4 linked regions of the Tamandua tetradactyla genome follow. The protein of the gene in region 3 interacts with the protein of the main gene of each other region in a biochemical or structural test. Links are inferred from orthologs where the notes say so. Each region holds a gene or a part of one and is shown on either strand. Other genes may lie near its edges.

Region 1 (7,861 bases), on a different chromosome or scaffold from region 3:
TTGTCTCTACTCTGAGCCTATCTCAGACTCAAGCACAAGACAAGAAAGTCATTGTGGAAACAATAAGATTGATTGTGGAATTGATCTCCCACGGGGATTAGATAGGGATTCAAAACCTTCCAACCCAGACCCAGATCAACTGTAAATTAGAAAGACTTTAGGGCCCTGGGCTTTGATTTTCCAATACTATCTCTGAAAATTCTGTCCTTGGCTCTGTCTAGCCTGAAACCCTGGCTTGGCACGAGAAGAGATTTATAGAGTAAGGGCTTCCAAACAGACAAAGAAATCCCGATTCTTACCCCCTCCCCTCTCTCCCTATGGAATTCTTGCACGTTTAGCTGACCAGGGGGCATGCCTTCTGCCCTCATCTTCCCCATCACTTGCTTTCTCTCCAGTTCCTGGGGGAGGAGTCGCCCTTCTGGCTGCACGCCAAAAAAAAAAAAAAAAGGTACAGCTTTACTAAGGGGAATCCCTGGCTCCCCCACTGCACAAGCAGTGCCTTAAAGCCTGGTTCCAACAGCGACAAGAGTGGAAACACCCACTGCTCCCTGGCCAAAGTGCCCTTCCAGGAGGGCTTGGTGCGGTGACTCCGCGGGCGGCTCACCTTCGTGGTGGAAGCTGCGCACCGTGTTGGCGCGACTGGCCGCCCTCTCCAGCCAGTGGTCCGGGGCCGGCACTCCCGGCTGGCCCGAGTGCCTGCGGTACAGGTCCAACATATAGGGGGGCACCACGGCGTTTCTGCTGGGGGTGGGTCTCTGCTTCAGGCCGAACATGCTGAGCAGCCGCAACTCGAACTCGCTCAGGATGTCTTCCGAGGGCTGGGACAAGGAGCGGCCCGACGCCGCCGCGAACTTCCTCCGGCCCAGCTCGGGTATGAGGCTGGCCGCGCCGCCCAGGAGGACCTGGGGAAGCAGCAACGCTAGAAGACAGCGGGTCCCGGCCACCATGGTCGACCTGCAGACAGGATCGACGGTGAGTCACCGAGTTCCCGGCACAACATAACCCCTGCCCCTCGTTCGGTCTGCTGCCACCTCCTCCACGGTGCCCACCTGGCTTGCAACACTAACTGGGCTAAGTCAGAGGAGCTGACGCTCGGATATTTGGGAAGAATGGAGGGCCCCTCGTTCCACAGCCCTATGGCTTTCCCCCTCCCATCTCATTCTCAACCCATGTGCCCTCGGATTTGGGTTTCACCCCCGCCCCCATCGTTGCAGACTATCACCTCTTTTCTGCGACACCCACGCTGACAGCAAGTACAGGGAACCTGGGGAAACTGCCCCTGGATCCGACAAATCTGCGTCCCCTATACAAACCCCAAACACACTCACACAGCGCTCGCTTGCATATAAACATGCAAAAAATGGTGCATGTGACTTCCTTAGAGGCACCGTATAGACTTCCTGATACACACACCCACAGTCTACAACTTCCAGACCCTGTAAACTCAAGGCCACAACTTCCGAACAGCATTCGCAACTTGTGACCCACGCCCCGAACTTCGGGGGCGTCAGGGTAGGCTTCCCCACCCCCGCCCACCTCTACCGCAGACAAGATACACATACATCTCCCTGGGATTACGTGAATGACTAATAGCTAATGTTTCACGTGTCAGCTGTTAAAAATACAGTACAAGGAGGCACTGAAGTACTTCCCTCCTCGCATGTCTGGAAACACAGGGAGAACCCCAACTTCTAGTGCTTTTCCAAATGGAACGTGGCTCCACATAGAGAGCTGGTCTCCGGAAAAAAAAACTTGGAGAAGATGGCACTGCTACTGCAGGGGTACAGGTTGGCAGCTAACGGGTGAAATCCAAGGGCCACCCTCTCTAAAGGATTTTGATTCTCTCTTTTTTTAAAATCATCTAAGCGCTAACAGCCCTAATAAAATACCCAGGGGGTCGGGGGTCGAAGAGTGACAGACAGGCGGGCGAGATTACACAGTGGCCGGGGGCGGCAGGATGACGGCACCCCGCAGGGGTTCGGCTGCACGTGGACCAGGAGGGCGCTCTGTTTACGTCCACTCAGCCCGGCCCCTGGGACGGCTCAGCCGCTGCGGCCGTCCGAGCCCCGCGCGGGTCCCGCGTCCACCGCCCCCACCTCCGCTCCCCTGCCCCCCGCCCGCGTTCTCTACCTTTAGGAGGCCGTAGACCGTCTAAGAAGCACGCGGGGACACGTCCATTGAAAGAACCTCCACATGGAAAAAGCTCTGGCCGAAGGACCTGGCGCGGGAACTGGGTGTCTGCTCCCTTCCTTTGCCTTCTCTGCCTCCTCCCGGGCGCCTGCTGGGCAGCGGCCCTCTCCGCACTGGGAACGGCGTTTAGGGGTCCGGACCAGCCGAGGAGCAGACAGGCGGCGGGGCTCAGGGCCGCGAGGCTGGCCCGGCTGGGAGAGAGGCACCGGCACGAGAGCAAGTTATTCTCCCTGCAAGTTCAAGAAGTCTCCAGCCAAGTGCTGACACACAACAACAGCGAGCGGGGGGAGGACTGCGGGGCAGGGAAGGGAAGGGAGAAAGGAAAATCTGGTGCTGTCGTCGTCTTTAGGAACCAGCGCCCGCGGGACGCGTGGCCCCGCACAGGGCCGGCTCCGGGACGCAGGGGGCGAGGGTCGGGCGCTCGGCGCTAGCTCCGCCGCGGCCCATGGCTCGGGGCAGCCATCCTGGGCGACGCCGGTTCCGGGGAGGGGTGCAGCGGCTGCGGCGATCTCGGTGCCGGGCGAGTTGCCCCCCCGCATCACTCTGCCTTACTCCAGCGCACCCCCATTAGCGCTCCACTAGCGAAACCGCCGTGGTTCCGGCGCCCCGTCGTACTCGGGCGCATTCTCCGGAGAGAGAGTCGAGTCGAGTCGAGTCCCCGAGCCGCCAAGGCGGGGTGGCCGCGCTCTTCGAATCCCCCGGTGCCAAGTGCCCTGCCCTTTGTGGCCAGCCTGATGTCCGATCACAACTCAGGCGGCGCGTCCCGGGCCCCAGCACCGCGGCGGGGGGTGCTCGGCATCACGGCGCTCGGGCTCGGCTCCCAACTCCCCGGCGTTCTGCGCGGAGCTCCGCGGCTCTGTCGCGGCCCGGACAGCCGAGGCCACGGCGCTGCGGCGCGCACTGCCGGACGCTTCAGCCCGATCCGAGTGCGCGACGCGGGGGTGTCTCCGAGCCCCCGAGGAATCGGCGCGGCGCTCGCCTCCAGGGGCGTCCGGGTCTGCGGTGGCGGTGGCGGCGGCGGCGGCGGCTGCTGTCGGGCGGCGGCTGCCAATCCCCGGCGGGTTGTGGGAAGCTGAGCGGCGGGCGCAGCGCGAGCCGAACGCGGCGCGGCGGGGCGAGGACTCCGGCGGCGGCGGCGCCGTGGCGCGGCGCTCCCGGCTTTTAAAGGGGACGCCGCCTGCCGGCTCCCTCCCGGCGGCGGCCGAACACCTCCCCCTTGGCTGCGCGAGCCGGCGCAGTGCGCGGGGGATCCCCGAGCGGGCGGGAGCGGCGCGCAGGGGTGTGGACGGCGCGCCCGAGCAGCGACGGCGGGTGGGGCCGCGAGCGGGAGCCGCGTGGCCGAGGGGGGCGCTCGCGCTTCCAGCCCCTGCCCTCCAATGGGAGAGGATCCCGAGCGCCCGACCTCGCGGGGGCTCCCGAGGTGAAATCCGGACAAATAAAGGGTCAGGCCCCAGTTTCCCCGCGGGGCCCGTTATTCAACTTTAGTTTGAAGGTTTTTTCAGTAATAGGCGATTAAAAAACAAACAAACAAAAAACCCATCCAAGTTCGGGGGGATGTCAAAACGGTGGAGTAGACACGTCTGTGTTTTCCCGGGGTGGGGGTAGGGGGGGAGAAGAGAAAGAAAACCTTAGGCTGGAAACTGGGTGTGTTTAAACCCTAACACTTTGGTGTACATAATTATATCGTGTATGTAGATGTAGGAAAACTAAGACGCATTCCATTAATATGTGTATACATGTGAAATAGATGTCAACCCGCTGTATATGACAGATGTGCAAGTGGACTGTGTGTGTACCAGCCGAAGAGGACAGGAAGGAAGGGTTTTATCTTTTTATGGCAGCAATCACTTCGAGCTGCCATATCGATATTTATCTCGCCTGGCTCGGGGGCATGAGATTAGCAGCCCAGAGGACAGTAAAAAGCGCACAGCGTGAGCCAGGCATACAAGATAATTCCGGTTTGGAACTTTAGAAACTTCTGACCCACCCCCCACCCCCCACCCCCCACCCCTTCCGCCCCGCCTCCAGCAGCGAGGCTATGACTTGTGGTCAAGTCGCTTTTCCTCTTGAGCTCACATATTCCCCAAAGCTGCTGCCCTTCTGCCTCCTGAGTCTCGGGGTCAAGGCTTCTTTCTCTCCCAGAATTCCAGGAGTCCCAATAGGTAGCGGTGACCCAGTTGTCCACATGATCCCCTAAGCCGAAAGCTGAAAAATTCTGGGAAAGTTTTGGTTCCCCAAATCGGTTGGCTTGCACCAGAGCCTTGGTGCCTGCAAGCAAAGAGATAGAGAAATCAGATGCAAGAACTAATAATAATCTATTATTCCTGTGTATTATTTTTCGGTTGGGAAGTTAAAATAATTCTAGGTTCTGCTCACATAAATCGGATTAGCAACCCACAGAGGGGAATTAGGGACTCATTGTTTCTGAAGGTATAAAGGTCAAGTAAGGTATTTTGGAGTAAGTTTGCCTACTAGGAAACTAAAAGGGGAGTTTGTGTGCAAAATATACAGAAACGTTTTTCTCTATTCCCTGAAAATAAAGCATAATAAAAGCTAATTGTCATTCTGAATCATTCCACACCGGACAAGCAATAAAACATATTCTTCTCATCGACCCAAGTCAAATAGTGTTTATTGTGCTTTTGAAACGATTTCCTTTCCTATCAGGTTTGAGACGTTAACAGCAGGTTCCGTTATTGGTGAGCTTTCAGTTTCGAACCTATGTAGCCTTGAAAAAGGAGGGGCAAGTTGATCGCTATTGGAAGCACCCCAAGCAAACACGGAAACCAAATTTTGGTGATGACATCAAAGATGTTTTGCAGCTTTAGGCCTTCATGACTTAAGAAAAGAAGCTTGTCTGTTTATGGACTCATCTTTGTTCGTCAAGAATCTGAGGGAAGATGGGCACTGCAGGGCCCTCTATTCAATTTCCGTGTTGCCCATCACAGGATCTCTTCTGGTGGGAATGCAATTGCTGAGAGGCTGCCGCATGCCTTTCCTAAGCACATCTTCCTAAATTTTGGCCTTTCTCCCTTAAGAGCCTGGCTCTCTGGTTGTTTTTTAGAGATGGCTGCCCTCTTGTGGTGGAAATGAGTCAGAACGCCTTCGTGGGGGTGGGGGGGGGGGGAGTCAATACATAAATAAAATAAAAATCATCTCCTAAGGACTGGTTTGGGGTACTACGTCCTGGATGGCCACATCTACTGGTTTTCCAATGCCAGGCAACAGAAATAGTTAAAAACGACACATCTAAATGGAAATAATCTTCCTTTCTTTCATTCTCTTTGTTATTGACCTCCCATTACTTTGAGGGGGCAGTGTGTGTTCGCCTTGAAGATACTACTTATGACTAGCCTTTGTCAACTCTACATTTCTCAGTTTCAGTCAAAGTTATCTCACCCAAATGGCAAGATTCATTCTTCCTTGGTATCAAATTTGGTATGTCTGCCAATAGATGGGGGTAAAGGGGTGATTGGAGGAGAGGTGGTGGTTGCAAATTCAGATGCCTTAAAGGGGATACACGAAAAGCATGCCAGGTAAGGATTCCACATGCAGTAGGTTGTTGCTACTCCATTCCATTTTTCTTGCCAGCTTTTCAACAGATACAGGAAATCTGCATTTGATTGTGTACGGACATAGCCCAAGGTGAAATTAATTGCTTAAAGAGTCATCCTTTGGCAACTTTTCCTTTAGCAGTCCAGCCCAGATAATGTTTAATTTTATTGCATCCTGCAGCTGCTAGCATTCAGCCTTGTTCTTACTAGACCAACCATTATGCAAATTAACATTAAAATAATGATCCCCGCATATTGTAAAGGTCACAGCAGGCATTAAATAATCCATTTACCTTGTAATTGTCATTCTGTTGAAACCTGTGGCAACTTCCCTGAGAAAACTCTTGGCTTTTTAGCATACCTATCATTTACTTCCCATTGGGACACCAGATACCAGTTCTTCACCCAAATGAAGTTCTTTCTGAGGAACCTGGAACCACAGAAAAAGAGCAGCGTCTACTCTAACAAACTCTTACCTATTTGGTGTTTATTTAACTGGACATGGTAGGAGGCATGGATGGAGTGGACATGTATGCCAAGTCAGAGTCCCGGCTTTCAGGCAAATATAGGCTATAATTAAAAAATGTCATCGCTTGTACCCATCTGTTGATAGGGTAAATAGGCTCTGTTCTGCCGCCTCAACTGGTAATGATGGGCTGGAGAATTTTTAAATGTTTATACAAACACAAGATGCCATTTGCTACTTATCTGTGTATCTTTAAATATAGTTTTCAGCTTTCTGCCTGAAATATGGCCTGATTTTGAAAGATAAGATTTTGTATGTCTTTTGTTGTTTTAACAGTTTTTTCTTTTTTTTATCACATTGCTGTACGGTGAGGTATTATGTCATAAAGCTCAACACCTGGATCGATCTAAAGCAATAACTAATCTCCTTTCCTCAGCTTCCTCAGGAATAAAATGTAGAGATCAATATATGACCTTCTCATGGGACTGACATGAAGAATGCATGAAAATATATATGCAAAGACAACAAAAAGTTGCAAAATTTGAATCACTATATTTATGCAAACTAATGTCATTTGTACTTAGAAGTTATATTTTTGGCTTATGTTATTTTTTTCATACTCCATAGAGTCCAAAAATATGGGTTGAATGAATACATGCTTCTGAAAAATAATTATGTCTTCCCAAATACGTGATTTTAGATAGCCATTAAATATTATTTAGTTAACATATGTCAATATATTTGTATATCTAGTCAGTGTATTAAAATGTGTTGATCTTTTGCTAATTAGATTACAAAGCGCCCACATGGTATTTCTCTTTGCATATTCATTCTACAAAAATTTACTGAGCAGCTAGTATGTCCATGACATTATGTCACTCAGGTCCCAGAGAATAGAAAAATACATAATCTTTGCACGTAATGTACTTAGAATTCAGTGGAAGTGATGGAACATGTTCACAGATTATCCATATAAGGCATATGAGATAAGAGTTTCAGAGAAGTGAGAAGCAAGTGTGTCAGGTTTAATGGAGAGCAATCTCACTTTGAAATGTGAGTCCAGTAAATTCATAGTAGAGAGAGCATTTGAAAGGAATATTTCAGGGAGAACAGAGATTCAGTAGGATTAATACTTTACAAATGTCAGCAGTAGCAGTAGCAGGATTTCCAGCAACATCTTTAGTTTCTGAGTTTAAAGAGTTTTACTAGCTGCTTTCTGTTTGTTGTTTCAATGGATCCTCAGAAGAACCTTGCTCATTTGACAGATGCTTAGAAAGGTTAAGCCATTTTCCTAAGATCTCACAACTAGCATGTAGGAAGTCCAATAGCCCATTCTAGAATCCATGCTAATGGTCTCCCAATTCCAGACAGTAGGAGCAGCCAAAAGCCAAGACATCAGGATAGGAAAATGTAGGCTGCTGTTTTGCAGGGCACAAGGAAATGGTTCAGATTTGGAGGAGGGTTTGGATCGGGGTAAGGTAGTTCTAGAAGATTACTCAACTCTCTAGGCAGGGTCCTGGCAGAAAAACGAGGGCCATGCCAAAGAGGCCGTTTCAGAGCGTTTAATAAAGAAATATTTTGCAAAGGTGTGTGTAATGATAAGGACTAGTGATGTACCCTGCCTCTACACTGGGAAGCCAAACCAGGACAG
Region 2 (8,007 bases), on a different chromosome or scaffold from region 3:
ACTTTGAAGAGGGAGCAAGAGAAGCGATTCTTCGAAGCCTCAATTTCCTCCCTTCAGCTCATTCCCGGAGTCCTAGAGGTGGAGCCCGTTCCTTTTTGAAGCTCTTACCTCTTGATTGGGCTTCCTCCATTGCTCTCCTAAGAAATAAGTTATCCCGGTGACCTTTTTTTTTTTTCTCATGTAACTTATTTGGTACAGTCAGGTGTCCATGTAATAATCTTCTGCTTCCAAGACTCATCTCACAGTGGCAGTGCGAGATGACTCTTGTTCAGGTCCCACTGTTGAGACCCAAGAAGAAGGAGAGAGAGGGAAGGAGAAGATGTGTGAGCTGAGAGCAAAGTCATCTCCAAGGTTTTAATCTTCATGATACATTCTAGAAGAATTTAATTCCAAACAGCATGGAGGGGCAGCCTAAGCAGGAAGAAGTCAAATACCCATCACTGTGTGCCAATCCAGCCCTCCTTGTGATAACTATTCCTTGGAAAAGGCGCTTCTACATCCGTATCTTGTCTGCCATCCATGTATTAAACATGTTAATGATATAAAAGCAGTCTTCTAAAACTCGAATATCATTGGAGCTTGGATCAGCATTCTCTATTTTTGATACTTTACTTTAAAGGATTAAAAAAGAACCATATTTCAGAGAGTAGCAAGGTAACAATTTAAGGCATAGGGAACTCAAATAGTATTGCATTTTATTTGGTTCATGAAAAAAATTAGAATTCTAGTATTGTTTAGCTTTGAAGGATGTATATCAATGGTTGAGAATAGTCTCAAATGTTTGAAAAAGGAACTTTTCAATCAGATTAAAATTTATTCTTTAAACTAGGAAAAAGGAGACAGGTGTACATTTTACCAAGACGGGAAAAAAGTCAGAGGCATTAGGGATCATAAGATTCAGAGAGAGAAAATGTTCTGAATTTGTCATCTTGTCTATTATTTCCTTGCTCTCAGTAGGTCTGACTGCCCATTTTGTTCTTTACTTACTAGTTATCTTGGTAGACATATGTTCATGGGTCAGATCTATACAGACAAATCATAATGTTAACTCAGTGAATGATGATTTGTGTAAACAACATACCTTATTCAATAAACACCTGAGATATGTGTAGCACCAGGGATTGCAAATTAATGCGAAAGCATAACCCCTTCTTTAAAAAAGTTTATCGCTGATAAACTTCTTGGTAAAACTCGATGCTCAAAGTGGTTCTTCGTCTTCTACTTTGCTTTTTAATCATCGCCTTTGCAAGGAATAATAACAGCTAATATTTACTAAGCACTTGTATGCCTGTAATTTATCTACATGAACTCATTTAATACTTATAAAAGCACCATTCTCCAATTATAAATGAGGAAACTGAGACACTAGAGGGTAAGCTATCTGACCACAATCTCAAGTAGTAGGATAGATTTCCTCTCCTGGGACCTGAGAAAGACCTATGAGGAACCTGTTCAATCCTCACATTTTACCACGAGGACACTAAATCCTAGCAGAGGTAAGCAACTTTTTCTCAAAGAAGGTCACAGTTAAGTCTCACTCTGAGGTGGGCTGTGTGTTCAGATCAGAAGGAAATGAGCTTCATTTTGCTCTGTTTTTCAAGAACTTGGGAAGATATTCTGAAATTCCCAGTAAAGGCGTCTGCTAGGATGGAACGGCAGTTGGTGCCTTAGCATCAGGAGAGACTCCAGGACAAGGATTCTTCTGTCAGAAGCTGTGGCCAGAGTGATCTTGCAGGCTCAAGGCATCTGACCTGGGCTGAATTTTGAGTTTACTAGTTTACAACTCTATCATGCTAAGCAACTTCTCTGACTTTCAGATTTTCATTTATAGAACAAGGATTTTATGGGGGTATTGTGGAGGCTAGAGAGCAAATATGTAACAAATGGTAAATATTAATAAGAGAAAAAGAGATCTCTTTCTAATTCATCAAAATTTATCTTGCTTCTCAAAAGTTAGCAATGGTGCTGGGAATTCCTTTGGCGTACATCTTCATAGCTTCAATAAATACCTGATCAAGAAAGAAAGCTTGAAGACCTCATCTGGTTCTTAATGTGACATAGAAGCAAAGGCTACTGCTGCTACCAAGATTAGAAATCTTTTCACTTGCATAGACCTATTTGGTGTGCTTTGGGTATAGTACTGCTGTAATTACCACATTTAGCAGTTCATAAAGCATAAGCCAAACATATTCCTTGACTGTTTACTAATTCTTGATACCATCTTTTTAATAGCATCTACCAGCCCCATAAATATATGTGAAAGAACTGTTCAAACAGTGCTCAGAATCACTAGAGGACCTGGTTAAATATGCAGATTTCTGGGCCCAGATTGGGGGCAGGGCCAGGAATCTGTGTTTTATCAGCATCCCCTCTCTTAGTTCTCCAGCTTAGGATCCTACAGAACATATCTTAAGAAAGACTGTCTTAAAGGCTTATTGGCCAACTCGTCTTTCTTCATATTTTCCAGGAAAAATCCAACAAACACCCTTCATTCAGCACTAACAGCAGAGCAGCAACAGTTGTTTCTGAATCATCATTGGATATCTCCACTTGCCCGTGCTTTAAGAATAGAGTTTCACTTGGTTCATCTATATTATGTTCTATGAGAAGAACAAGATTCACAGGAGACTTGAGATGGGAAAAAGAAATGGACCAATTATCCTTGCCAACTTTGATACCTAGGCTCTGACTGACTTAGCTCTCTAACCAACAAGTAATTTGTTCTTGGCATGGGAAAGAGGAAGAAAAGGGGAGAAGACGAGTGGGTAAAGACAGTCAATACCAGATGGTTTGCACCCATCTTAAAGCATGGGGAAAGAAAAGATATCCAAAGAGAAGTGACGCTGAGCTGTTCCTACCACACATTTTACAATTCATAACAGGGTCTAAAGAAAGTATTTCAGGTGGCGCAATTGTACACTCCTGATTGTGAGTTTAACAGAATCATGGGCTGGTCAACGGCCACTTCATTGTCTGGGCTTCAGCAAAATGGGAAAACAATTATCATCCGAAAATACTTGGGATTAAACAACATTAAAACGCTATGGAGTTTAAAAATAAAATAGATAAAGCCCTGCTTTTAAGCAGTATATCACTCTTGTTTCTGAGTTTAAGGATTAAGGAACACTCTTAACTAATGGATTAAAACCATAGTGATTGATTTAGGGGGCTCAGGAAACATTTAATCTGTCCCAACTCTGTGTGCTAAAGGACCACACCGCCTAATGCCCCAGGAAGGACATTAGGTAGCTATTCAATAGAGTTTTAATTTTGTGTTGTTTTTAATTAATTAATTATAATTCGGATTTGTTGGAAGCAGGAGGTATATTGCGAGTCATCTTTTCTAAGTGGCATTACTGCCCTGCCCTGTCTCAGGGGTGATTTAAGATGAAAGAAGTTGTTGTTTCATAAAATTTCAATGAAATAATCTGACCATTTTTAGACTGAAAGAGAGAATGGAGATTATTTGGCCTAATCCTTTTATTCTCAGTTGAGAGACCTGAGATGTGTAGGAAATGAACTGACTTGTCCAAAGTCATACAGCTTGCTCGTGTGTTGTTTGATGCACTATTGAGCTAAAAGGCCTCGTCAGCGGTGTGATCCGGACACTTCCCACCCTTTGTCCTTTTCCACACATAGGAAGGAGTTCTTGTGTTCTAAATATTGAAGGTGTGTATAATGTAAAATTTTTACAGGTCAGCTACCCTGGGCCAGTATCTGTTTAAGTCAAGACCTAAAAGCTTTGCTGGGACAGGGAAGTGCAGTGTTTGTCTCCCAGAGAGAAAGTAGGACAGGGAATGCTGTCCTCCAGCACTCGTCTGGCTACCTGGAGCTCAGTGCTGGGATCTTTCACCTCACCCTGAAGCATCAACTGGAGGCTCCAGAGCAGAGGCTGAGATTTCCTTCAGGGCTTTGGGCAAGTCCCTTCCCCTTCCTTGTTTGTAAAATAGAGATGATGCTGATACCTCCCTGGTCGCACCATCACAGGCACTGTGTGAAATGAGATCCTGTCTGGGAAAGTTTTAAAGCTACCACATTCCACCTTCCCGCTAATACGATTACTAGTGCTTTCTAGAATATGAAAGGACCAACTCTTCACCACTTCTCCTTCCTTTAAAAACAGACCAAAGGGCATCTTTTCTTGTTTCCCGGTGGCCTACAAAGTTATTGCTCCAGTGACTGTCACTTCCTTGGAAGATGATAGAGCAAAGGATTCCTGGGTGTACACCAGGAAACAAACAAATCCACCATCCTCAAGAACCACAAAAATAATTCTGCTGTGGCAGTTAAAAGGGCTTCTGAGGTATATTCAGACTTTCTAACTGTAAGTAGCTCCAGCCTAAGTCCAGGCCACCTCTACTCCCAGGAAGTTTGGGCCTGTGGGGGAGGTGGGGGCAAGCCTGTTCACTGGAGCTCTTTTTGGGGATCATCACCAACGCTTTACAAAAGAAGCACTTGAAAAGATGTTCTGGGAGGAAAGCCACCTTGTAACAGCCGAAGAGGTACCACCTTCAGCTCTGTGCGCAGCCTGTTTCTCAACGTTTGGAAATCCTTTAACAACTTATGGAAGGCCACCCTTAAAACCAATCCAAGGGCTCCTTCCTCCATAACCTGATTTTAGAGGTGTTTCATTATCTCTAATTACTCGGGGTAAATGGTGATTACTCACTGTTTTAATAATCAGTTTGGGCAGCAGTTACTCTAAACTCAGGGAAGCCCAGACTCCCATGGGTATTTTTGGAAGGCACGGCGACTAGTCGGTGCATGCTTTCTAGTACCTCTGCACGTGGTCCCCAGGTGAGCCCCGGCCGCTTCTGCAAGCTGGAGGCAGCGGCGTCCCAGCCCCGGCGGCAGCTGAGGACTCGGGCGCTGCCGGGGCTTCCGGGACCCGGGCCTGGGAGGCGAGGCCCGGCGGCGGGAGGGGAGGATGTGGGCGGGGCTCCCATCCCCAGCAAGGAGGCGAGCAAGGGAGGAGGGACACAGGGAGGAGCTGACGGCCAAGAGGAGGAGGAAAGGAAGAAAGAACGAGAGGGCGAGAGAGAGAGCGAGAGAGAAAGAGAGGGAAAGACGAAGAAGAGAAGATGCAAGAGGGCCGAGGAGGAGGGCGGGCGGGAAGGCGCGTGGAGCCTAGCCCGGAAGCTAGGTGAGTCTGGCACCCGAGCCGGGGGACAGAGTCTGAGACCCCGCTGCTGCTCGGGGCTGAGTATCTCGCCTCGCTCCCTGATGGGATTCCGGTCCGAGCTGTCTCGAGCCTGCAGCGCCCCAGTCCCCGGCCCTCGTCGAGGCTCACTGCAACTGTTCCGAGGTCCCCAGAAGCTGCTGCTGGCGAGCCCGCTCTTGCAGGGAATCTATGGTGAGCAAGGCTGCCTGGCGAGGGGTGCTGGGCACAGGGGACAGAAGCGCATCCTTGCGGGCAGAAGCGGGATGCGGCCGGGGCAAAAGGTGGTCCAAGCTTTTTCCAACGGTGATGCTGGAAGTGAGGATGCTAGCGCTGAAAGACTTCCCTTACCTGCTATTGTCTCCGCCCAGGCCACCCTCTCCGTCGGGTGCCGGGGGCGTTTTCTACCTTCGAGAGATGTGGGCGAGGAGGGGAGGGGAGAAGCCCTTGCTAGGGGATCACTGGGAAAAAGATTGTAAGGTCGTGAGCTGAAAGCGCTGTCTGTGGACCGGGAGGTTGCGTTGCCCCGACGGGAAAGACCAGGCCAGGAAAGAGGGCGCCGGCCTTGAAGTCCGGAGAGGGTGAGGGGGCTGTGGGGCAGCAGGGTGGGGGAGAGAACCCCTAGCCAGCGGCGGTTCCGTCGTGGGAAGCGCAGTCCTACTGCCTTCTGGTGGGTGCGTGCCCTTGGCGGGGCTGCGTTGAGGGGAGTGTCACCCGATCAGGTGCCCCGCCGGCCGGACGTCCCCGAGAGAGCACGCGAATTACTCGGGCAGGTCGCGCCTCCTCCTTGAGCTCTTTTCGTGGACTTGCGGCTTCCAAGGAACCTCCCCTCTATCGTTTCGCGGTATGGAATCTGTAGGGAGGATGGCCGCAATGCCAGGAGCTCCAGGATGCTCCTCCTCGCAGTTGGCGTCCTAAGATTCACAGCTGGCAAGACGCGGCTCTTTCCCGGTTCTCTGTACCCGAAGCCGACGGGGAAGTGTCCCGAAACTTCCCTCCCCACGAGCGTCTGGCCCCACATCCTCAGATGCCTCCTGGGCTCCGCTTAAGTTCGCGGCTTGCAAGGACCACGGTTTGTGGGGTGGACGCTTTGTGAATCGTTAAAACGTCCAAAGACCTGGTCGGTAAACTGAGGCTACCTCTGAACAAGTTTCGGCGTTGGGAAGACTCGAGGAAAAGACGGCAAGAGTCCCGTCCCTGACCCCCGAAAAAAGGTTTTGGAGATGAAATTGGTCTTTCCGGCTTTTATCTTTTTGAATTAAAAATAATTCCGAGAAAAACGTATTAGAGACGAATCCTGCAGATTGCAAAAGTGAAGCCTCACCCACCCACATCACTCCCCCAGCCTACTCCTCTTAGCGCAGCTCAAGCCCCTTTGGCTGCCCGGGAAGATACCCAGAGGCCGAGGATGGCGCGGGGACCCGGGGCGTCCGTCCCCTGCATTGTGCGTTCTGCCCGCGGGAACCGGCCCGGCTCCGACTACTTCCCCCATTTCTGGGATTCCCCTCCTTTTTTAGGGTCCCAGGCGCCTTAAGAACACTTAGCCCTTTCTCAGCCTGCCCCAGCAGTGGCGTGAGAGCCAAAAAAGCCCAAGGCGGCTCAAAAAAAAAGAGCGAAGCTTGGCGCGGGGCGCGGGCGGTCGCGCAGGGGCGCCCGCGGCCTCCGCATCCCTGCCGGCCGCGGCCGGTGACGTTGGGCAGCCGCGGCCCTGGAGGAGGGCAGAGCTGCTCGATCCTTTTCTCCTCTTCCTCCAAGGCTTTCTGGGAGCGTCTCCCCAAAGTAAAACCAAGTCTTGGGGGGGAGGGGGAGGCGGGCAGCCCAAGCCCTCGAGGCCCGAAGCCGCCAAAGGCAGGAACTGGGAACAGCCTCGGGTGGGGTGCGCTGGGGGAGGGAAGGGAGAGTCGAGTCCCCAGCGTTTGGGCGGGAGTAGTGGGGCTCGGGGCCCTGCAGGCGGTCCCACAGGGGGGGGGGGGGGGCATGCGGTGTGTGTGGGGTGGGAACGCAGAGTCACACCAGGTAAGGTTTTCCAACAGGCCCTTGCGCTGGGCGACCCACGCAAACAGCATCTTCGCTTTGTGTCAGGCCATCTCAGTAATTCCTTGAGCTGTGGGTTAGTTAAATTCTTGAGGGAATATCTGCTGCGACTCTGCAGCTGGTGCAAAGGAGGAAGGGGGTGGGGGAAGGAAGTGGCGAGGTGGGGGCGGGAGTGGTGGTTGAAAAAATAAGCCAAGAAAGAGAGATGCAGACACAGAGGTCGAGTGCAGGCCGAAAGCTGTTCACAGTTTTCTTGACTCCAGGGAGCGTGGTGGGATTTCCTTTTTGTGTCTGGTCGGGAGTTGCAAAAAACCTCCGCGACATTAAGACCTGAAAATAAAATAAATAAATAAATAAATGTGATGCGCCCTTTTTTTCGCGGCGACGCCTTTTTTGAATCCACCCTGAGCCGGGAGCTCCAGCCTTCCACCCCTCCGCCTTGAACCCTTCGCCGACTGGTTTCTTTCGGGATTTGCTTTGCTGGGGGCGGAGGGAAGGGGAGATGGGAACTGGGCGGCCCAAGCAGTGAGCGGTTTTCTCCAGACTGGAACCAGAGCAAATAGCTTGGCGGCCCCTCCCTCTCCGCTTTCCCACCCGGATCCCCTCCCGCCCTCGGTGCGTGACTGGGTCAGCGGCTTTTGGCCGCGAGCAAAAAGGGTTGCTCTTCTGAGTCCTCGCAGGCGTGCGCCAGGGAGTGAGTGGCTGTCGCGTTTCCACTGGGGAGCAATAATTGGCCTCGCGGAGACCCTGGGGAAGGAAGTGGCGGGGCATGAGTGTGTGTGTGTGTGTGTGCGTGGGGGGGCTCCTCAAGCACT
Region 3 (7,542 bases):
AAATTCAGCTTCACAGATTTTGGCTTATAACGCTATGTAATATTAAAGAAAAAAAAGACTAAAACCACTTTTAAGCAGTGCTTCTTTTAAACTAACCCTTTAAGGGACACAATCTTAAGAATATTTAGCAAATAGAAATTAAGTTTATTTTTAAATTGTTTTCCTCTTACTTTTATCAGGTCTGATCAGAAAATAAGCATGGCACTATAAATGAGAAACTGCATTCAAATGGTCAAGAATAACAAAGAACACTGAAAAGTCTAGTGTGAGGTTTCTGCTCACAGAATGAATGCTTAAGCATAAGGCCTTTGACTCTTCATATTTTACAAGAGCCACATGGCTTAAGGCTAGAAAATTGAAATAGCTAACACAAAATATAAAGAAACTTTGAAAACAATCGCTTATTTTTACCCCAAAAAGAATTAAGTTCACAAAATAGAAGTTTCAAAATACACTCAATTCATAAATTCAAATTATCTTAACACCAGTGCATAAATTTTCATAAAGACAGTAGACACCAATCAACAACAGCAAAAGCAAAAAGTGAAACTTCAATTTCAGTATTTTTCCAGGGCAGATTTTTAAGATGGAAATAACTCCTGTGTCTAACACAACAATGAGAAATTTAATGACTGTGAAAATTACACACTTACAAAAGTAAAAGAATAATTAGAAAACTGTCATGTTGCTCATGACTCGTTTATAAATGCATAATCTATTTGGCCATCCTGAACCAAATCTGAAAATTATATGTAACTATTTACTATAGAAAATCTCTAAAAGCAGACCACAAAAAAACTGCTTGAGAAGTAACTGCAATCGGAACATTTTTTCTAAGGTGTCTGAGAACTAAAAAGAAAATATCCGAGGGAAAGAATGACTACCATATCCCTTTAAGCTCAGTAAAAGGTCAAAGAACTTTCAGGGCTCAAATATCTTGTAAGTCTGATGTCAGGTCAAAGTTGTCTCAATGACAGGAAAGCCAAGAGATGCCAGATGACTACTAGAAAAGTTACTGAAAACACTTCCGTGCTCAATAATTCCAAAAGCATATAAAGTATAAGGATCCAAAATAACATGATGGAGATATCGTTAAAAAAATACTCTGTTGTAAAATAATACTAAAGCTAATAATAATTAACAGTATTATAAATGTAGTAAGAATCTCACAGTTCTGGCTTCCACGACATTTATTCTATTCATTGTATAAGATTTTTGAATAATGAAAGAAACACGGATTTCCGAAGAGTGCTCTAAATCTAAAAATAAGGTTCGTGTATGTTTATAGTTGCTCTTTTTCCTATAAGCCAAATTCGCTTCTTCGTATTAAAAAAAAAAAATTATAGCTCTGTTTCTAAAGATCTCATAATAGACACTGTTCACTGGTGATTAAAATATTATTTTTAATCCTTGCATTACCTCACAGCTAAAAATGTCAAGATACCACACCCAACATGTCTTTTCTTCCTCAGTAGGGGGTGAGAATTTGGGAGGGGGATAGGAAACCATACAAAAACCCTGCAGGTTTTTCCCTGGAAGGCACGGGAGAGGCGCGCGGGCACACGGGCGCAGGCCTCGGCCTCTGCGGTACCCTCCCTCGTCTACCGCAGGGGAAGTGGCCGGGAAGCGCCATCGGGGCTACTCACCGGCCGCAGTGCTGACCAGCAGGACAGCCCATAGCAGCGAGGACACTCGCCAGCGCCGCTGCAGAGAGGAAGGCATCCCTGAGCCAGCCAAGAAGCAGGAAGGCAAAGAAAAAGAAATATGGAAAGTAAATACGGGCGGAGAAATACTGCCAGGAAGCTCGTCTTCTCTCTCGGCTGCTTTATCCTGCCCGCGTTACAAAGCAGTTTGAAAGGACAAATGGCAGATGAGAAGACCCAGCAGCAGAGCTTTCATTCCGCTGTAGAAATCCCCTACATTTCTCTCCTTCGCGGCTGGCGGGGGTTCATTCGCCTAGGACGGGGTGCTTCGGCCTCCCAAACTGAAGGCATGTCCGTGAGAAGCAGGGAACCGAGAAGAAATCCCTGCAGTTATTTCCCTCGCAGTTTCACGATATCAAAAAAATATCCAGGTCTGGGAGAAAACATATCCAGGGAGCAGAGGGGCGGAGGTCGAGGATTGGATGGGGGGTGGGGAGGGGGGAGGAGGGCGAGATCAGAGCCAGTCCCCCACCGCCGGGAAGGGCGAAGCCCCGTGGGCAGCGGCGGCGCCCGGCGGCCCGAGTCGCATCGCCCGGGGCTCCGGGAGCGCAGGATTCCTTTTTTTAAGTTTCGCTTCGGTGCTCCCTTCACTCCGATTTCACCAGCTACAAACCCTCTTCCTCGACTAGATCGAAAAAGGTGACTGCCTCCATGGGCAAACTCGCAGCTCTCACGCCTTCGCGGAACAATCCTGCGAGGGTCCGACAGGGCAGCTCCGGAGGGCTGAGGGGCGGTGGGGAGCGGGGGAGGGGAGGGGTCGGCAGGGAGGCTGCTGGTGCAAGGGGGTGCCGGGGAGGCTGCCCTTTCTTTTTTGCCTTTCCCGGTGCACTCTTCTCTTATCCTCTCTGATTTTTATTCCTGCAGTTAGATTCTGAGGTAAATTCCACCGTGAAAGCCTTATCTTCCTCCCTCTCTGGCTCCGGTGAGCGAATCACAAGCCCTCGAGGAGGAGGAGGAAGCCGCCGCTGCCGCCGTAGCCTCCGCCGCCTAGTTCTCCCGCAACACTGGGCTCCGGGCGGAGCTCGAGCGTCTCGGGCCGAGGGCGGGGACGGCGGGAGGGCGGATGTTGGTAGCCGGGAAGGGGGTTAGGCAGCGAGGGTCAAGACACCCAGCGCCCCTCCGGGAAGCACTTCCAGTGGCTCCGCGCAGACCAGACACAAAGGGGGGGAGTCGCCGCAGCTGCCAGTCTGCGGCGCTCTCGGTCACCGGAGTCGCCCCGCCTCCGCCTCCGCGTCCGCCTCCTCCTCCTCAGTCTCCGGCTCTTCCCGGCCCAGTCTGTCTCCGGCCTGTGGTGCAGCGCGGGCGGCGGCGGCGGCGCGACCAGACCCTCACTGCGCCCGCGCGCCCGCAGCCCCGCCCGGCCCCGCCCCTCGCTCCCGGCCCGCCCAGGCAGCGCTCGGCGGCCCTCGCGCGGCGGGTCTCGGCCCCTGAGCTGCCTAGAGCCGGGGGTGGGGCCGGCAGCCCGTGGTGGGCAGCAACGCCTTTTCCTTTCGACACACGCACACCTTCCTTACGTGAATGGCTTGGCGTTTGTGTGTGTACTTGGGATGGCGGCCACATCTTTTGTCCAGCTTTCTCTTAAGTCTTCTAAGCTCCGTGATTTAGTTCCAGACTGAGACGTCGCCGTCTCCTCCGTGTCTCCTGGAGAAAAGCCTCGAGGAGCCGAGCCGCTCCATTGTTTCCCCGGGCCGGAGCCTTCCTCTCCGTAGCCCAAAGAATCCAGACAGGCCTGCCTTTCCCCGAACCGGAGACCTTAGTCTGTTCGGTCTTCCCTCACTGACTCAAGCAAAAGCCAGAATTAGAAAGACCACCCCTAAGTTGGTGTGGGTTTTTTTTTTTTTTGCTCTCATTGGCGTACAGCATTCCTCAAGCACCTTTCCCTTCGCCATTCTTAGCTGACAGGAATATTGAACATTTGGAAGGATGTGAAGCCAGAAAGAAAGCGCTCTCTTTTAAAAATCCATAAGCCGTCTTGCTGTACGTGCTTGCCTGCAGTGCGGTTTACACTTCGAGGGTGGGCCTTTATTCACAAAGCTGGGGGCGGGGAGCTTTTCAGGGCTGCTGAGAAGAAAAGCCGTGGAGAGTTGCTACCAGGGTAGAGGCTGGGGACGAGTGTTGGCACCCAAGGAAATGGGAAGGTGCGGTTGGTACCGTAGCTTCCCTGGATCCGGAAACGATCTGTTTAGTCTGTTTTTTAAGATTTGTAAATCTCGTTTGTACCCAAGCGACGAAGATGAGAGTAGGGGGTCGCTCTTCGCCGCCCTGCACCCCTTCACCCCTGATCAAGTCGATTTGGGTAGGATATTGCTAGGGCAGAGGGAAGAAGGTGACGTGCGTGTCGCCATGATCGGAAGTCTGGTTTTACTACTGAGCTTCGAGGTGGAAATTTTGCGGGGTCGGGGTGGGGGTACGGGAATGGTAGAGGTGAAGTTTACCCTTCCCCTCCCCCGCTAAGCAAAGGGTAATGCTGAAGGCTGGTTTTGCTGGTCTTTCATTGTGGCTAAGGGCAGTTGCTAAGATACATGCAGAGATACACTCCTAGAGATACTCTTTGCTTTTGCTTATTCAAGCCGCTTTTATCTTTTTATCCAACGTTGATGTAAACAAATCTCGACAGTCCTTAAACTGGTTGTTGTTATCAAACTAAGTATCTTTTTTATTTATGGATTCTGGTAATACCAGCCCAAGATTCTCAGACTCTTTTTAGTTGAAATATTTTTGTACTGTTTACCCTCCAGGCAGAAAGAAATGTTTCTATATAGTAAAGTCCCTTAAGTGAAGAGGGGAAAGGAGCATATGCTTTGATTCTGTAATTTTGTTTTGCCCGAAACGCCTAAAATAAGAAAATGGTATTGTTTTACCTTTTGTCTTTTAAGAAATGAGACAAACATCCAGAGAAATAGGGTTTCGGTATGTTTGGGGATACAGAAAGTTTATTAGTAATATATAGGTTTTCTTCCTCAACTTGGGATTATGTATTTGATTATTCAACTTTTATTTGCATAAATTTTTTTCTAAGAAACATTTAGCACCCTTGTACATATGTGATAAATTACACGGAAAAGAGAAAGGAGTTTCTATTTGCCACTTTGTTGGTAGGAATACTTAGTAGACAACCTGATAGACCACCCTCTTCCTTTTCCTGTTGTTCCTCTCCAGTTGGGACATGACTGTCCACTCACAGTGAGAAAGAACATAAGAAAAGAACTAAAACTATGCACTGGGCCTGTTCACCAAGACAAGACAGGCAATAGAGTCAAGCTCTTTGAGAACAAAGGATTGGCTGGCAGGTGAGGTTTAACATCTGTACCTGTCAGGATGGGCTAGGTTATAGAAACATTCCCCAAATCTGAGTAATTTATTGCAACATTAATTTATTTCTCACACACCCTACATGTTAGGCACAAGTCATCAGGGGGTCTATCACAAGTCTGGTTCACCAGGAAGTAGACCCTGAAACTCTGTGATCAGGAGATATATTGGATAGTGCTCTCAATACAACCTTTGTGGGGACTGAGGGAAGCAGGATTGAATAGAGAGAGAGGTTGAACTGTTACACAGTTGCAAAAGAGCTTTACATTATCCTGTAGGGAGCCCTTTAGCTGGGGTGGCCCTTCAGCATTGTCCTAAATTGAGGCTGGGGCCAGGTCTTTATACCCCCACATCAACCAGTGATTGCTTATGGGCTGCACCTGGGGAAGGGAGAGGCCCTTGTGTGAGAGGGCTCTCTTCAGCCCAAAGCAACTCCCAGAGAGGGAACCAGCTGAGAGCTGTCAGTCACCATTTGCAGCAATTAGGAGCAAGTGTTACTTCAGTTCTAAAAGGTAGATCTGGGAAGTTCATCACAGCATCCATTAAATGGGCTTTGTTCATTGCAGTCACCAAGAGCCCCAGACTGGTAGAGGCTTCACTGAGACCCAGGCTTTCAAGATTGCCACAGTAGAGATCATGAAATTCAATTACTAGTGTGGCAGTGTTTTGCTCTATTAAAATGCTTCTACCCAGAAGCAACACGCTTCAATAAATGTGAATTTCATTCACATTTTATTGACCACTGAAATCACAAGGCCAAACCTAACTTCAAAAGAGAAGTGAAGTGTAATCCTACTGTGTTACTAGAATATCTGTGAACAGCCCTAATGACTACCATGGTGTCCAAGGATAAATATTTTCCAAAGCCTAACACATAAGAGTGTTTTCTAACTTATGGGAGAAATTCTGGGGTAAGGAACCTTGGTGGAAGAGGAAGCAGCAGAGATATCCAGGTGGGCAAACCAATAGCATCTGGGAGACTGATAGACCTTAACTATTTATTAGGACCCTTCATGGAATGATCTTTTCTCTGAGGTGGAGGATTTACAAAAGCAAATCAAAACCCTGATCTTAAGAAGGCAGATTATTAGAACAAGAATTAGAATAAGGAATAAGGCAAAATCTCTGTTACATGCATGAGAACACATAGGAGTTACCTGGGCTTGGATACTTCCAAGACCAAACTTTTAAATCATAAAGATGTGGTGTCAAAGAAAAAATAGAAGAAAAACTCTTAACTCTAGCAAAAAAAACACAGGAGACCAAATGTTAGCACTGGGCATACCCTTCAGGGAAGGCTACCTGAAGCTGCTTGGAAATTTTAGGATTTAATCCTTAGGATTAAACTGAGAAATGGGACATGGAAGAGTCTCCTTTTAGAAGACCAAGGTGTAGATACAGGAAGAAGGGGAAAAACTCTCAGTTGTGAAATACAAGGAAAATGAGATTGGAGATTGACAGTCCTGACATCCTCTGGACCGAAAAGCAACCTAAGTCTCTCTCTTTTGAAAACATGTAAAGGAGAAAACAAATTGCTTTTCTTTGGGTACTTAGACCTCTTGTCCCCTTTGTTTCCTTCCTTTTTTTGTCTAAAATTTTGAAATTGTAATTATCCTAGCTTCTGTGGTTACCCTTCCCTTCAAGAGCAAAATTAAATAATCTAAGTGGCTGAGTCCTGAGTGACTGACTACAGGAGGACCTAGCTCCTCCCCAAGCATTTGAAGGATCCCAGAGGAGGATTTATATTTTTCCCAAATGTACCTGATTTGCTCTGAACGTCTTTACTGACATCTCATAAGAGCTTTTCCTTGCCAGTGCCAGAGTAGATACAAGCATCCTCCATTTATTCTTTAAGATACTCTGTATGTGATTAAAAATTTTACTGAGACTTAGAGTTAAAAAAAAAAAAATTATAACATGGTAAGGGAAATCTTAAAACAGAATATTAGACATACTGGTCTTGAAGTCCTTGAGCTACACATATGCCTGCCCAGTGAAATCGCACACACAGATACACACAGTCTTTGAAAGCCTCCATTTTCTGGCTAACTCTCTGCTAGGGGCTACTCTCAGCTATCAGAGACCCCTGCAGTTCCTTGCCACATTTCTCTGTCCCTAGACATCCCTATAACATGATAACTTAGATCTTCAAAACCAGCAAGGAGAGTCTCTCTCACTCCAGTCTTCTAAAAACAGAGTCTTATATAACATAATATAATCATGGGATTAATATTCAGTTGCCTTTGCCATAATCTGTTGGTTAGAAGCAAGTCATAGGCTCCACCCACTCTCAAGGGGAAAGGATACAAGGATATGGATCATGTGTGTCATTGGGTGTGCCCATAACTTACCTCTTAGCACTGAGAGACAATATGAGAAGAACAGCTATTCTACCTTAGAAGGACCCATCAGGGAAGGCCTGTCTAGAGAAGTGTCACTTAACCTGAAATTTGGATGATTAGAAAGAACCAATGGTTAGGCAGAAACCTGATGTAAAAGCCCTCTTGTCTCAAGAAACAGGCAACAG
Region 4 (7,015 bases), on a different chromosome or scaffold from region 3:
ACTAATGTCAAACACGTACCTCTGCTTCCTGACCGCAGGGCCTCGGTCATCTAGAGAGAACACCAGAGATCATTCCCTGCACCCCACTGAAGGAGCTAGTCACCTTGAGGCCTCAGGGGTGAGCCACGAGCAGAGCTTTCTTTACCTTCTTCCCCTCTCTGACAGGGCGAAGACTGAGAGACTTTTTCAAAATGAGGGAGCTTCCCACAAAGCAGAGCAAGTAGGGGTGTTTAATTGTAAATGTGACTGTGGATGATTTGAGTGGCTGGAATCTTGTGATTCCAGATGCTTGTGTCAAAGACCTATGTGTAGCTGAGAGTCATCATCTTTATAACTGCCTTCTACATATTTCTCTCCCACCCATTATCTAATTTGATACCTCCTTTGTGAGGTAGGGAGGGTATTATAACTTCTCCTATTTTTAGAGGAGGAATCTGAGGCTCAGAGAAGTTAGGAGACTGGCTCAGTTTCACCCAGCTAGGAAAAAGCAGAACCGGAACTTTAGAACTTTTTATACCCAATCCTGAGTTGCTTCCACTTTACCTCAAAGGAGACCCTAGTATTCTCGTTTTACAGGTGAGGCCCAGAGAGGGGGTGACTTGCCCAAGTGCACACAGCAAGTTAATGACAAAGCTGGTCTACAGTGCAGTTTCCCTGGCTTTCCAGTCTAAACATCTCATTGTGTATCTATCTTATCTGCTGGGTGTGTGAATGTGTGTATGTGACAGATTGTGTATGTGTAATGATTGAGTTCTTATGTTCATGTATGAGTGACATGTCATGGGTATGTATGATTGGGCTTGTATGAACACTTAAGGAATGGACAAGTGTATGTATGTGTATGATCCCTGTGCATATATATGTAAGAAGGCATGCGTGTGTGTATGTGATTCAGCATGTGTATAAATAAAAGACTGTGTGAGAGGCTCAGCAGTATATCTGAATGAGCATGCCCTTCTTTCTAAATACCAACTTGCCATTGGGGAGCATTCATATATTGCTCTAGAAGGTGACTAATTAGACCTTTAAACTCCCCATCTCTCCCTCCCCAAGTTCCCTTAGTGCTGGGGGACACAAGGACTTACTTTATGAGCCCCCAAGCAGTCACAGCTTTCCCTGGCTGGGCAGGCAGCCAGGCCACCTCCCCCTCCTCAGCCAGACCTTCTACTTCTGTGCCTCCCTGCCCCCCTACCCAGCCCCCACGGGCCTGCTCTAATGAGGAATGGCCCCTCCCTTGCTGGGCCAGCCAGTCCTGAGACTCACAGAACCGGAGGATGACGACCAGAGCAATCAGCTAGTCTGTTCCCCTCTTAACACTTACAGAGAAACTGAGGTCCTGAGAAGGAAGGGACTTGCTGGGGTCAGAGGGAAAGCTTAGAGGAAAAGCCAAGCAGTAACATTAGGTGGGCAGAAGGAGCTATGAAGGAAGAAGGTATACCCCTGGGCTAATGATGAAAATTATCTCTGCTTAGCTCTGCCAGGACAGGGCATAGTTTTCATATTTGAAGGGTTCTCAGAAGTCATCCAGTCCAACCCCCACATAAAGAAGGGGAAACTGAGACTCTGAGGGGAGAAAGGTCTTTTGCAAGGTCCCCTATTGAGCTAGACCCTAGATGTCTACATATCTCCACATTGTTCCATGCTTCCAATATGCCCCATTTACTGTCTTCTTTTCCTCTGCCTCTGTTTCCTTGCCTGAGGACAAAATCATTGAACCATAGGAATCTAGAGGTTCATTTTTCTCTCTGTCTCTGAGAAAACCCACAAAACCCTGGGCCCTGGAAAGTTTGGCCCTGAAAAGTTTGACCTAGTAATCTTGGAGTCTGGTCCCCAACTCACACCAATAGACTGTATGACCTGAGTAGGTCTAGTGTCTCCTTATGCCCCTTAAGGAATGAGATTTGGTAATCTCTAGGTGCCCTTCAACTCTGATGTGCCACCATGGGGGTCCTGCTACATATGAGGTAAGTCCCAGACACCCACCCCATACCAGATGCACACACCGTCTCCCTCCAGTGCAGTGTCAGGCCTCTGTAAGCCCCTCTGCGCGTGCAGATGCCCCTCCCTGTGAGCCGTGCCCCTGCAACCCCGCCCCCTCACCTTGCCCTTTGTCAATAAAGCTGGTGATGGTGTTGGCCAGGCCAGCCTCCAACTTCACGCTGCTGTTGCCTCCCTTTCTGTCAGCATCGGACAGCGTCCTGTACAGCGAGAGCATGTACTCGTGGGGTGTGATGGGGGGCGGGCGGAACGGCTCCTTGGGCTCTCGAGGGGGTCCAGGCTCCCTGGCCTTCTTCAGCAGGAAGGGGCTGGGGACAGTTCCTGCCTTTGGGGGTGCCTTACCCCCAGGATGCTGTCCTTTTGGGGTCACAGTCCGCGCTGCAGCCTGCCTTGTCTGGGGAAGGTGTCCTGGCTTGGATTCAGGGCCACCCGATCTGGGAGGCAGCTTTTTGGGCTCATCCTTCTTGGGCTGTGTGAGGCCTCCTGTCTGCCCAGTGGCCCCCTTTGCCCTGGCATTGGTGGCCCCCCCACTGTAGCTGTGACCCCCTGGCCTGAAGATGTTCCGGGCCAGAGGGGGCCTCTCCTTGGCCTCTGCCTTGGCCAATCCTGGCCTGGCCCCCTGGGGTCTCTGGCCTAAGTCAGGGGCTCCCAACACAGTGCAGATAAATTCCAGGTCCAGCCAAGCCAGGTGCCAAAGCAAGAAAGTGAGGAGTTTGAGGAGTCTCATCCTCTGACCAGCCGCTGAATGGCACCCAAGAGAATGGTGGCAGGAGTGAAGGTGCCTCTGGTTTGGGAGGAAAAACCATGAAAGGAATGGACCCTCAAAAGCAACGGCAGCAGCAGTAGCAACAGAAGGAAAGGCTTTCTCCTCAGTCTGAGACTCTTGAAGTCTGCCGGGTGTGTGTTTGTATCCAGTCCCATAGTGGAAATGCTCTCGTATCCAGACGTGCACCCGTCTCCAGTCAGCAGCTGAAAATAACTCGTTCTTGAAAGGAGAAAGCCGACCGCCCCCTTTCTCCTGCACAACTGACTGAGGGCTTGAAGGAGGCTTGTATAAGGCTGAGGGATTTTTCCAAGAAGGAAGAATGGCGTAATGCTGCCTGTATGCTCCAGTTTTTTTTTTTTTTTTTTAAGTTTTGAATCCTTTCCAGTGAAAATACTTCACTTGCGTGAGTGCACACACACACACACACACACACACACACACAGGCCTGCAGGTGCTCAGAAAAATCTTTTACAAACCTGAACTCAGGAATTGGAAACGGAATTCCAACCCAAACCAATTTAATTACTCTCTGATGTCATGCTGTCTAAACTCATTTAAGTGCAATATATTTATGTGAAAAAAATCACCGCTGCCCTTTCGAGGCCGTGGCTCACGGGGGCTCTTGGCACAGAGCCCCGCAGCAGGACTCTGAGCTTAGGGGCTCCCAGACTGTGGCGCAGACTCAGGGGTCTTCACCTCCACCTCATGGAGCAGCCCACCCCACTTTCCTGAGGAGAGATGCTGAGGAATGAACTCCAGGATCTTAAGCCCCAGAAGCATGAGGAGTTTGGGTTTTCAGTTAAGTCCTTGGAGTGTTTTTAAAGCAGTTACAACCCCTGCGTCTAGTCTGGGGCCTGATTTGTTGTGTGTTGCCAGGGGTGGGGGTTGGGGGGTGGAACAGCACAGATGGCAGCATTTACCCACAGCTTCTTTTATTTTAATAAACTTGTGGTGACCCAGAGAAATATCAGTGCCCACTACACCCCTCCCCTCAAATGCCATTGACTGAGCTCAGATGATTTCTTCAAGCTTGGGGGGCACTGCCACTCCTGAGCCTACCCTTCAGACAGAGGCAGGTCCAGAGTGTACCCCACCACCACCCCCGCAAAGGTGTCCTCCGAGTTTTCTTGGAAAGGACTAGCTGAGGCCAGAGGTGGCAGCCCAGCCCGAGGCAGCAGCGGCCCCTGCAGGAAGCCAGAAAAGAGATTTCCCCACATGATACTTTTCTGGGAGCTCGGGAAGTCTGAATTACAGCTGAACTCAAAAGGTGTTTTTAAAGTGCCTCCTTTAAGTACTGAAGCCTCCTTCTTTTGGGAGCCTCCCCCACAGAGTCTCTGGGCAACTTACTGCGGGGTCAGCAGAGGGAAAGTTGATTCCCTTCACCTGGAATGTCCTCCTCTCACTCCCACACTGGAGGAGGTCCCCTCATCCTGAGAGGTTCAGCTGAAAACTCATCTCCTAGGGGAAGCTTCCCCTAGTCCCCAGACAGAACCAGTCACTCCCTCTTCTACATCTCACTACAATGCTTGTCACATTGTGAGAAGTGGTAGTCAGGTAGGTTTCCTTATTTATTAAGGTGAAATTCATATAATATTCAATTTACCCCTTAAAAAGGTACAATTCTGTGGCATTTAGTTTACTCACAATGTTGTGCAGCCACCAACTCTCTCTCGTTTCAAAACTTTTTCACCACTCCATAAAAACACCCTGCACCCATTAAGCAATTACTCCCCAGTCCCCCCTTCCCCTCTCCCCTGGTAACCTCTAATCTGCTTTCTGTCTCTATGGATTTACCTATTCTGGATATATCCTATAAAAGGAATCATACAATGTATGACCTTTTGTGTCTGGCTTCATTCACTTAGCATGTTTTCAAGGTTCATCCAAGTTGCAGCATTTATCAGTACCTTGTTCCTTTAATGGGTGAATTATATTCCACTGTTTGGATATACTGCAATTTGTTTGTCTATTCATCCATTGATGAACATTTGGATTATTTCCACCTTTGTCTATCATAAGCCTGCCTAGTGGAGATCTATTTGTACCGTGAGGTTACCAGATTTGTTTCTCAGCATAATTTGGTCATTCCAAGCTTTATCTGGTGCTGAGATCAGGAAATTCAATAGAGGTATACCTCCCCATCTCCAAGGACCAATGTACCACCAGGCACTCTTTTGGGGAACTCTTTAAGAAATGACTGAATTTATTACTATCCCTCTAGTTACCAAAATTCACAACTGTTGTCTTCCCTTTTGACCTGTCTCCACTTGAATCTGTCACAAGATCCAACATCTCTCGTATTCCTTCTCTCCTCTCCATCCCCTTTACCTCCACTGTCTAGTCAGTGCTGGTCTACTGCAATTCCCTTATACCTGGCTTCTAGGCCTCCAGGATGTCTCTGTTCCAACCCTCCCTCTAAGAACTACCCTTTAAACAAGAGCCAACTCACGTGATACCTCCTCCAGGAAGCCTTCCCTCAGCTGCTCCCCCCCCACCCGACCACCAAATACAAATCCTTCTGAATTACACCATACATTTTCTGTACCCTTTTCCATTTTGGCATCTCAGAGATTATTCAGTCTCTGCCTCTGCCCCGTCTCCAGCTGAGTTCGTTGCTTCCACTCTGTGCATGCTTTTAAAATATATTTAATATGATTTAATTCCTTATAGTCATAATGATTTATTTACATATCTGTGTCCCCCCATTAGCTTGTGACTAGACTAAAATACTTATGTATTTTTGAATTATTCCTAGTCCTTGGCAAAGGGCCCAACGCACAGCAGATTTGCAGTATGTATGGAATGAATGAATCTCTAACCAGCTCTTTAATGTGAAAGCCATCATTTTCTACTTTAAGGTATAGTTACTCACAGACAAATGATGCCTTCCCTGCTTGTCTCTGAGTTCCTTAAAGGGACAGATTTTATCTTGCTCACTTAATAGGCACTTTGTAAGCTTGAGTGATTGACTAAATGAAGGGGGAATTAGTCAAACAAGTAAGACATCCTTGCAAGGGCTCTGGAGACAGACAGATCTGGTTTTGAAACCTGGTTCTGCTATTTACCCATTGTATGATCTTGGGGAGTCTCTAAACCTCTAAACCCTGTGACGGTACCCACCTCACAGGGATATAATGAAGTGAATCATAAAATGCTGATTAGCCTAGCAACTGGCAAATAATAATAATAGCTCCTCTTTATTGGGCTCTTTATTACAATAGACTCTGGCCTATTGTCCTTTTGCATTGCACTTTAATCTTATTTTATCCTTACAACAACACTACATTGAAGATACTCTTGATACTCCCATTTTACAGCTGAGGAAGTTGAAATTCAGAGAGGTTAGGTTACTCCATTTTTTTTTTTTTTGCATGGGCAGGCCCCGGAAATTGAACCCAGGTCTCCGGCATGGCAGGAGAGAATTCTGCCACTGAGCCACCATTGCCTGCCCTTAAGTTACTTTTTAATTCCCACTTTGATGCATTCTGTACCGAAGAATCTTAATCTGGGCTCCAGAAACACGGAAGACCTAAAAAGGTGGTGGGGGCAGCTATAATAGACTTGGCTTTTACTCAAGGTCTCATCCATTGGTCTGGAACCTTGGGGACATGGAGGAGTCTCAGGGCAGGGGCTGTGTGAGGACTAGGGCACCCTCAGGAATGGGGTAGGAGCAGGGAAAGGGGACTCTGAATTTGGTCTGAAGGCCCTCTCAAGGGAGGAGCCCAGGGGACCTGCCTGGCTCTCACTATAAAGGTGACTAATCACTTTGGTCCCCTCTGGTAATTGCAACCAGATGCTGCTGCTGGCAGCGCCTGAGTCCCGACATGTTTAATTACTGGGACGTAGAGTCCCTGGGTTCCCTGTGTCTCCCCCACCTCCCCCTCTCCTGTCAGCAATATTTATGACAAACTCAAGGTAGAGGATGGGAGCCTTGGGAAACCATTGGCATGGAAAAAATCTTTGCAGTCTCTTCCACGATTTAGAGCCTTTAACTTCTTAAAATGTTTCCGCATCCATTATCTCATTGGCACTTCAAAAATCATCCTTATAAGTCACTAGCCCAGGGATTATTATGCCCATCTCACAGGTGAGCACTAAACCAAATAATAGCAATCCCTTGCTGTTTTCAAACACTTAGCGGTTTTCAAAGTGGCATCACATTCGTTATGATATCTGAACTCCCGAGGTCTCTCCACAAGCCCATCTAGCACAGCAAAGTGGTAAAGAGCACGAGCACTGGGGACAGTTTGT

What was found.
Region 1: the proteins of BMPR2 (region 3) and BMP2 form a complex in vitro, tested with the Homo sapiens proteins (4 studies listed by BioGRID and IntAct, with this or other methods). The link is inferred for Tamandua tetradactyla from reciprocal best matches to the Homo sapiens genes BMPR2 and BMP2.
Region 2: the proteins of BMPR2 (region 3) and BMP4 form a complex in vitro, tested with the Homo sapiens proteins (2 studies listed by BioGRID). The link is inferred for Tamandua tetradactyla from reciprocal best matches to the Homo sapiens genes BMPR2 and BMP4.
Region 4: the proteins of BMPR2 (region 3) and GDF5 form a complex in vitro, tested with the Homo sapiens proteins (2 studies listed by BioGRID and IntAct, with this or other methods). The link is inferred for Tamandua tetradactyla from reciprocal best matches to the Homo sapiens genes BMPR2 and GDF5.

What each region holds. Positions count from the first base shown.
Region 1 is NC_135327.1:54,115,586-54,123,446, forward strand, and holds the start of BMP2 (bone morphogenetic protein 2), read right to left. Parts: upstream 3,008-7,861; 5' UTR 2,131-3,007; intron 955-2,130; 5' UTR 948-954; coding exon 605-947; intron 1-604. UniProt on the Homo sapiens protein: Growth factor of the TGF-beta superfamily that plays essential roles in many developmental processes, including cardiogenesis, neurogenesis, and osteogenesis. Induces cartilage and bone formation.
Region 2 is NC_135338.1:12,344,137-12,352,143, forward strand, and holds the start of BMP4 (bone morphogenetic protein 4), read left to right. Parts: upstream 1-4,994; 5' UTR 4,995-5,081; coding exon 5,082-5,143; exon of another isoform or gene 5,144-5,353; intron 5,354-7,595; exon of another isoform or gene 7,596-7,807; intron 7,808-7,861; exon of another isoform or gene 7,862-7,886; intron 7,887-8,007.
Region 3 is NC_135329.1:177,097,940-177,105,481, reverse strand, and holds the start of BMPR2 (bone morphogenetic protein receptor type-2), read right to left. Parts: upstream 3,005-7,542; 5' UTR 1,723-3,004; coding exon 1,647-1,722; intron 1-1,646. UniProt on the Homo sapiens protein: On ligand binding, forms a receptor complex consisting of two type II and two type I transmembrane serine/threonine kinases.
Region 4 is NC_135327.1:17,071,321-17,078,335, reverse strand, and holds the start of GDF5 (growth/differentiation factor 5), read right to left. Parts: upstream 3,015-7,015; 5' UTR 2,726-3,014; coding exon 2,101-2,725; intron 51-2,100; coding exon 1-50. UniProt on the Homo sapiens protein: Growth factor involved in bone and cartilage formation. During cartilage development regulates differentiation of chondrogenic tissue through two pathways.